Linked DNA regions of Nothobranchius furzeri. The protein of the gene in region 2 interacts with the protein of the main gene of each other region in a pairwise test. Links are inferred from orthologs where the notes say so. Each region holds a gene or a part of one and is shown on either strand. Other genes may lie near its edges. The genes, in order: ppil3 and slu7.

Region 1 (3,751 bases), on a different chromosome or scaffold from region 2:
AACTGTAACACGGATACACTTTTTTGTTTCATACAAATTATAATTTGTACCGTTTTTTTTTTTTTTTTGGTCTGGCACTTGAATGACTGCCAGCCATGAGATGAAAGTGGCATTTTGTTGACTCTAACCACTTTTTCAGTGACCCGAAGCATGTTAGCGATACACGTCTTAGCTAAACAATGCAGATTTTTAGATGAAGAAATCTCTGAATTTTATTTAGAAGTGTTCTGGTGAGTAAAGGGTATTGTTGCTAGTGACATGGTATTAGTGACGTTTTTTATGTTAAATGTGTGCTGATTTTAATTCACTTTCACTATTTTTTGTGACATAAAGGTTAAAGATATTATTGTTCAACTGAACTCAGGAAACCAGCTAGTATTGATCCTTTTTTATTGGTTGCCTTTTTTCTTCACCACCCGTAGTATTATGATTAATTTAAACCAATATAATGTTATTTTGTATGCATTTCTATATAGTTTCTATGTTGATGGTTTAAGCAGGATGTGCTTGTGTTTCAAAAACAATTAGGTTTATTGTCACGTGTGATTTTAATCATCAGTATGCGATATTTAAGCATCGTGTCTGTTGTATTTATGAGTCACACAGGTCAAGTGTGTGTGTGTGTGTGTGTGTGTGTGTGTTTGCCCGTGCGTGCGCGCACACACCAATTGCGTGATGGGATGTTTGTACCATGCACACTTCACATGTAAAACCATCATTCTGGGTACAGTTACCACTGTCAAAACCATTGCCAAGAAAAACAATTTTGGTTTTGTGATTTTTTTTCTTTTTTTACAAAGATTTAAAATACAAAATAACAGTATTGATGTAAGCTTGGATCAATATTTTAGTATTCTGTTTGAACTAGTCTCTTTTTATGTCTTGTGCACCATCCTCTACAAACAATAAAATTTGGTTGGTTAACTAATTCCATCATTTTTTATTTTGTGTCTGCTGCTTTCAGTGTTATTATAGATGTTCTGTTTAATTACTTTGGTTGATTCAAACCACTTTTTTATACATATTCGACCTAAAGGTCAGTTGGGTGAGCCCCCTGCCCCTTCAAAAAAATCGTTATAACTTATTTCTCCAAATTTTTATATTTTAAATACTTTTTAATTTTTTTTTGTCGTGATATTTGTCTTGAGATAAAATTTCTCCTTTTTTTCTTTACATTCTTTACATGTAATTTAGAATAATTAAAGGATGTTATAACTCGGAATAAAACAAATGTATATTTGTGATATTTATATATTCACCCACTTTCTTTTATCTGTTTTTAAATATCGCAATGATCAAAAGACTTGGGACAAGCACAACCATAGGTCTGCCGGAACCACCTAGCGCTAGATACTCATCCCACCCGGACGGGTTTTGTGTGCGCACACCATCACAGACGCGTTTGAAATGGTGAGAATGTTTTCTAATTTTGGTCGCTTGTAGTAAACAATAGAATACCTCTTTACTGTATTGATTGAATAAGTGTTTTATTTAGCTAATGTACGCGTCCGGAAGTGACATTTGACTTTAACCGGAGTCCACGTGACGCTGTGTTCATTTTTATAGGCGGTTACTCTTCATACGGATCTGGGAGATTTAAAAATCGAGTTGTTCTGTGAGCGTGCTCCGAAAGCGTGTGAGGTACGTTACTCTTTACCTGTTTACACGTTTGACATCCGCTTATAAAACTGTGATGACTACTAGCTAGTAAAAGTAAATATATCAGCTTTAGATGTAAGTCTGGTGAATAATCTTACCTGTTCTTGTGTTGCAGAACTTCCTTGCTTTGTGCGCAAGTGGGTTCTATAATGGTTGCATCTTCCACCGAAATATCAAAGGCTTCATGGTGCAGACTGGAGATCCTACAGGTCTGAGCTTGTTTTTGTGTCGGACAAATATAAATATGAAAATGAAGATGGTTATTGCCCCTTTCTTATACAAAATAACATGCAGGCACAGGTAAAGGAGGCACAAGTATATGGGGTCGCAAATTTGAGGATGAGTTCAGTGAGCACTTAAAGGTAATTTAACATGAAGTCATTTTTATTTCATTAATTAGTGTTTATCAAAAATTTGATGTTTTCTTTTCTCTAATTTCAGCATAATGTAAGAGGAGTGGTCTCGATGGCGAGCAGTGGCCCCAACACAAATGGTTCGCAGTTTTTCTTCACCTACGCCAAACAGCCACACTTGGACATGAAGTACACAGTGTTTGGAAAGTATGTAACTTATACTTGAATGTACACATGAAGTACACAGTGTTTGGAAAGTATGTAACTTATACATGAATGTACACATGAAGTATAAAAGTGATTCATTGGTTACTTCACAGTACATAATACATTAATAAAGGACTGAAATCCATTAGGTTTTCCTAATTCATGTCCACATATATGCTTCCTTACTCTAATCCTCAAGCTCTTCCTCTTACAGGATCATCGACGGCTTGGAAACGCTGGATGAGTTGGAGAAGCTGCCCGTGAACGAAAAGACATTCCGACCACTGACTGACACCCGAATAAAGGATGTGACCATTCATGCTAACCCTTTTGCTGGATAACTGACTTGGAGCTTGTATTTAAAAGAAAGAAACACTTGGAAAGCTGCACGGTGCCTTGTCAAAGTTAACACGAATTACTTGTCCAAGCCTGAAAAACACAGAGAGAAATCTCCCTGAGAGAATTACAACGGACTAAAGCTGCTGGGTTGTCTTTCACAAAAACAAAGAAAACCTGAAGTCCTTGTTGAAGTCATTGTCCAGAGAATATTACAGATTTTGCAACTTGTTGAAAAATTCAGTAGTTTCTAGCTTTGTGCGTAAACCAGTTTGGAAGCGACAGAACATTGGTAATAAGTTATTCGTGTAATCCATTAAACAGTTTCACAACTGAATCCAAAAATGAAAAGGTGACATTTTAAAACCGCGTTGGGCTTTTCTTTTTCCTCGTGTCGAACAAATGTTAGCAAGTCCATTACTGAAGAAATCTTTATGTATCTGCGACATTTTAATTACTGTGCTTTTTCATTACCTAATAAAAAAATGCAAGGTGTGTGGGGGTGATGGCTCTAGAAAACAAATTAGTAGACCTATTCACACTACAAATGTGCTCCCGTCGCGTAAATTTGCGTCATCAGTCGGGGACGAAACCTGCCAGATTAGAAGGAAGCTAAAGTCGCCCAAATGGCTTCAAGCGACGCGTTTAAAGTACGTTTTTGTGTTTAACTTGCTTTTATTTCATGTAAATCCAATATGAAACAGTCTTTGGTTGAATTTAGAGCAAATTCTTCCTCCTGTTAGGTTACCGCTACGTATCCACGAGTCATCATGGGTGCGTTTGTTTTCAGGTGTCTTCCCTGCGGGGGAAGGTGGCCCTGATAACGGGAGCCAGCTCGGGCATCGGAGCTGGAACGAGCGTCCTGTTCGCTAAACTCGGAGCTCTGCTGGCTCTGAACGGCCGCGACGTGTCAAACCTCCAAAAAGTGGCCAAACAGTGCACTGACAGTGGGGCTACCGAGGTAAACGATCCGAACACCGGAGGGATTCGAGTATGGAGAGAAAGTTGGGACGAAGTATTGGGGCTACTGATTTTAAAAAAAGTCAGGTCGAACATGCAGACAGAATTTCGGGGAAGACAGCAGAAATCCATATTCAGAAACGTTTATAAATACAGAGAATAAAAATCCACATATCTATTTTAATAATAGCCAATAAAAATAGTTGCACCTTTCACAATATTTCCAAGCTTTAGAA
Region 2 (4,264 bases):
CCCTGCCTGTTACTGATGGATCACCACAGGTTTTCTGTTACACGTGTGGAGGAGGAAATGAGAAAGTCACACTCACGCTCTTCAGATGAGATGTTCTGGCCCGAATGTGACTCAGTTCTTTTAATCTGGCAGAGAAGTTCATCAGAGGGACCCAGGTGAGCCGGTGGGGCGGTCAGGTGTGATCCTGAGTGATCGGGCTTCTCCCGTCTTCAATCGCCTGGTGACTTATCTGGGTATCCATTATTTATACATACAAAAGGCTCCACCTTAAGGGTGGCCCCAATAATATTCTTTGTTGTTGCTGTTGAATAACTAATCATCTCTACTGTATGGCCTATTCCATAGAAGTGTTGTGTGTGTGTGTGTGTGTGTGTGTGTGTGTGTGTGTGTGTGTGTGTGTGTGTGTGTGTGTGTGTGTGTGTGTGTGTGTGTGTGTGTGTGTGTGTGTGTGTGTGTGTGACCGAGGGTGTCTGCATCCCCCTTGTTGCATCTGGCGACAGGTATGGACCCCCTGTCAGCTCGATGGGGAAGAAGTCTCCCAGGGTGGTCTGCTCCGGTTTGGGTTGCTCCTGTTTTGCTCCCTCTTGTATGTATGAAATGTCAGATCCCTCAGCCTTTAGGGGTGCCCAGGGCTGCTTGATTATTTGGTCAAACAAGATGGTGACTTCACAAGGCTTTCTGTGAGACCCTGGAGCAGGGTCATGTCTAACTGGTGAGAAATACTTCAGCACATCTGATCTCCCAACTCTCTCCCACACCGTTCCATGGGAGACCCTCCTGGTTCCCAAGGTCCCAAGCCCTTCTCATATCGGAACCGATTTAGACCAAAGGCTTCTTTTAAATGCCCCATTGGGATTTATCTTTATCTGTTCCCCATGGGGGCATCCCATTCATTCATTATTCATTCATTCATTCATATGTTTTTTATGAACATATATACATGAAACAGTGTTCAGTAACTAGAACAAATAGAAGTGTACATATGTAAGTATATATATATACACATATACATACATATAAGCACCTACAGAGAGAAATTCAAAACCGTTTTAAAACGTTGGCAGCCCTGCTCAGTCTGCACCACAGACATATTTATTAATATATATTATAATTATTATCATGAATGTCTGCACATTTATTTCACCGAGTGAATGGTGTCCAGTGGTGTCGCTGTTAAAACTGTGACTAGAGCTATAAAGCAAAACACCACCGAAGAAGAAGAGCAATCACCACAGAAGAAGAAACGTAGCCCTCCCTCCCAAACAAAAATAAAATGGCGACGATGGCGTATTACTAGAAAAACAAATAAAGGGGAAAAAACGCGCTTTACGGAGGAAACTTTTAATTTGAAGACATAAATACCTTCTGGTGCCATATTTGTTTGATTACTACAAAGGAATTCTAGCTATTAAGTTTTATTTTTGTACGGATAAAGTTTTTGCTCCGTTACTCAGACGGTAAACAGGTTAGTTCGAAGGTGAAGTATGTTTTCATAAAAACCCTCACTAAGTTAACGAGATCGATCAGGTGTACAGATTTCTGTTATGCTGATGTAACTTAAATGCTTATTTTCATGTGGATTTCTGAAGACGCATCCAGTCATGACTGAGCAACCCAACACGACCTCTGAGGGGATCGTGGGCCTGGATGAGCCCAAGAAGATGACCAGAGAGGACTGGAGGAAGAAGAAGGAGCTGGAAGAGCAGAGGAAGCTCGGAAATGCCCCAGCCGAGGTGGACGAGGAGGGAAAGTAAGTGAATGGGGGGTTCGTACTGGTGATCCATTAAAATGTTTAGCAAGTTTAGATTAAACGCTTTAACCTGCATGGTTTGACATATCTCTAACGTTGGAAGAAAGGAACTCAGTGAAAAGCTTGGTTCTTCAGGGGTGTTAAATCAGCTGTTTTCTCGTCTCCAGGGACATCAACCCTCACATCCCTCAGTATATTTCTTCAGTTCCCTGGTACATCGACCCATCAAAAAGACCCACGCTGAAACATCAAAGACCACAGTCCGAATGCCAGAAGCAGTACTCCGCAATAGGGGACTGGTACAAGAGAGGCGTGCAGGAGGTCAGGAGCAGGACGGTGTTTATTAATGATTTATATTAACATGCAAGTGTGAAACTTGGCTTTTTTGTCTCCGTGTAGAATGCAGTTACCACTAAATACCGCAAAGGTGCTTGTGAGAACTGTGGAGCTATGACACACAAAAAGAAAGACTGCTTGGAGGTAACCAAAAAACAGCAAAACAAGAGATAATTAGTTTTCTAAACCTCAGATGAAATCTCATTTATAATAAATAAAATACTGATCAAGATTTGATTTTCGTCTTTGTTCCTTCAGCGACCCAGAAAAGTTGGGGCCAAATTCACTGGAACAGGTATAGCTCCAGATGAACACGCTCAGATCCAGCTAACGATGGACTACGACGGAAAGCGCGATCGCTGGAATGGCTACGACCCGGAGGAACACCAGCGCATCGTGGAGGAGTACGCCAAAGTGGATCTTGTAAGTTATCCAGCAATGAACCCTGCAGTACTTCTCCTGTGTTTGAAATGGAGAAAGTATAAGTACCTCAAAGGGTGACAACAATCCAGATGTTGTCTGTTAAATTAAAAGTGAGAGAATCTGACTCACACCTGACAGATTAGTTATTCGCCATCGGTGACCTGGATGAGTGATTTCCTGTGTTTCTCAGGCTAAGCGGACCCTGAAAGCACAGAAACTTCAGGATGAGTTGGCCTCAGGGAAGCTAGACCAAAGTGTAAGTGTTCTGTAACACGATAAATAACAACTGTTGTAAAAGTTATGGAACCATTATGTAATTTGGTCTTTTCTGGGTTTTTTTTTTTTTTTTTTTTTTTTTTTTTGCACAGGAGCGTGAACATGACAGCGAAGGCGAAGATGAAGACAAATATGCAGATGACATCGACATGCCCGGTCAGAACTTTGACTCTAAGAGACGAATCACTGTCAGAAATCTGCGTATCAGAGAAGACACGGCTAAAGTAAGGCAGCGATGAACCGATGGCGAGCTGTTTAAAACTATTGAGTGATGGACGTAAAACATCAGAAACCGTTTGTGTTTCCTAGTACCTGAGAAACCTGGATCCAAACTCTTCGTACTACGATCCAAAGACTCGAGCGATGAGAGAGAACCCTTACTCCAACACTGGCATGAACCCAGATGAGTACGTTATGATTAATGCTTTCATCGTCTTATCAGCAGGTTAAAAGGAAATGATAATGAAGTGCTTTGTCTAACAGGGTGGGTTACGCTGGAGACAACTTTGCTCGCTACACCGGAGACACGATCAGCATGGCTCAAACACAGCGTGAGTCTTTACTGTGATTTCTTTTCTCTGCAGAAGTGACATAATATAAAGAAAGTTTCAGTAGTGTGAGGCGTTAACTGAACGAACCACAGCTGCATTTAGACAGGGTGTCCGCGGGTCCTTAAAAAGTCTTAAATTTGCTTTTCCAAATTTAAGGCCTTAAAAATCCTTAAAAATGACAAATAGTCCTTAAATACAGTTTCCAAAGGTCTTAAATTACCAAAGACCCAATAAACAAGATTCTTTTATTTTTGTCAAATTTTCATGAATTTCTAGTTGGTGTTCAGCGTTTTGTGTGTACGATGTTGGCGTAAGCGGAACCGTACACATTCAGCTGGTCGTGAAAGGGGGCTATTTTTAGATGAGCACATTAGCTGGTTAAGCTAGTGGGAGCTTGCGCCATGGGGAAGTGCAAGTTTAATGGTAACTGGATGGCTAATCCCACGTTTGCGACATGGTTAGCACCGGTTCCAGGCAATAGCTGGAAATTATAGCTTAAATTTAATTTTAAAAATAGCTTAAATTTGGTCAAAGTGGCCTTAGAAAAGGTGTTAAAAAGTCTTAAATTTGGCTCCCTTAAACCTGCAGATACTCTGTTAGAGTTTACAAAAGTTTTCTGTGAAAGGAAGTTCAAGTTGTTGTGATGTAACATGTTCATAACCGATCAGAAGAAATAAAAATACTAGCCTTAACTTATTACCAGTGGTCACAAAACCTGGTGTGCTCCTATAGAAATGTTGGAAACGGCAGTAACCAAGAGACAATTTAATATAAAAATCTCCAGTTTCTGTTTTTCTTAACAGCAGAAGTAGTTTCATTTGTCTGAGAGAATCAGAGGAAAGCTGGTTTTCTGCTGCAGAAGGAGATCACAGCCACTGTAACAAGGAAATGCCGTTTTTGTGAACTGTTGCCTCACCTGAGTGTCATC

What was found.
Region 1: the proteins of slu7 (region 2) and ppil3 interact in binary tests that used the Homo sapiens proteins (3 or more experiments, as listed by UniProt). The link is inferred for Nothobranchius furzeri from reciprocal best matches to the Homo sapiens genes SLU7 and PPIL3.

What each region holds. Positions count from the first base shown.
Region 1 is NC_091750.1:33,241,563-33,245,313, reverse strand, and holds ppil3 (peptidyl-prolyl cis-trans isomerase-like 3), read left to right. Parts: upstream 1-1,302; 5' UTR 1,303-1,407; coding exon 1,408-1,410; intron 1,411-1,566; coding exon 1,567-1,641; intron 1,642-1,774; coding exon 1,775-1,868; intron 1,869-1,953; coding exon 1,954-2,021; intron 2,022-2,100; coding exon 2,101-2,219; intron 2,220-2,433; coding exon 2,434-2,560; 3' UTR 2,561-3,050; downstream 3,051-3,751. Other genes in the region: zgc:101858 (3-oxoacyl-[acyl-carrier-protein] reductase FabG), read left to right, coding at 3,182-3,205, 3,346-3,516. UniProt on the Homo sapiens protein: PPIases accelerate the folding of proteins. It catalyzes the cis-trans isomerization of proline imidic peptide bonds in oligopeptides. May be involved in pre-mRNA splicing.
Region 2 is NC_091741.1:96,576,308-96,580,571, forward strand, and holds the start of slu7 (pre-mRNA-splicing factor SLU7), read left to right. Parts: upstream 1-1,237; 5' UTR 1,238-1,465; exon of another isoform or gene 1,466-1,477; intron 1,478-1,589; 5' UTR 1,590-1,601; coding exon 1,602-1,750; intron 1,751-1,917; coding exon 1,918-2,071; intron 2,072-2,149; coding exon 2,150-2,230; intron 2,231-2,344; coding exon 2,345-2,509; intron 2,510-2,699; coding exon 2,700-2,765; intron 2,766-2,877; coding exon 2,878-3,009; intron 3,010-3,094; coding exon 3,095-3,192; intron 3,193-3,268; coding exon 3,269-3,336; intron 3,337-4,264. UniProt on the Homo sapiens protein: Required for pre-mRNA splicing as component of the spliceosome. Participates in the second catalytic step of pre-mRNA splicing, when the free hydroxyl group of exon I attacks the 3'-splice site to generate spliced mRNA and the excised lariat intron.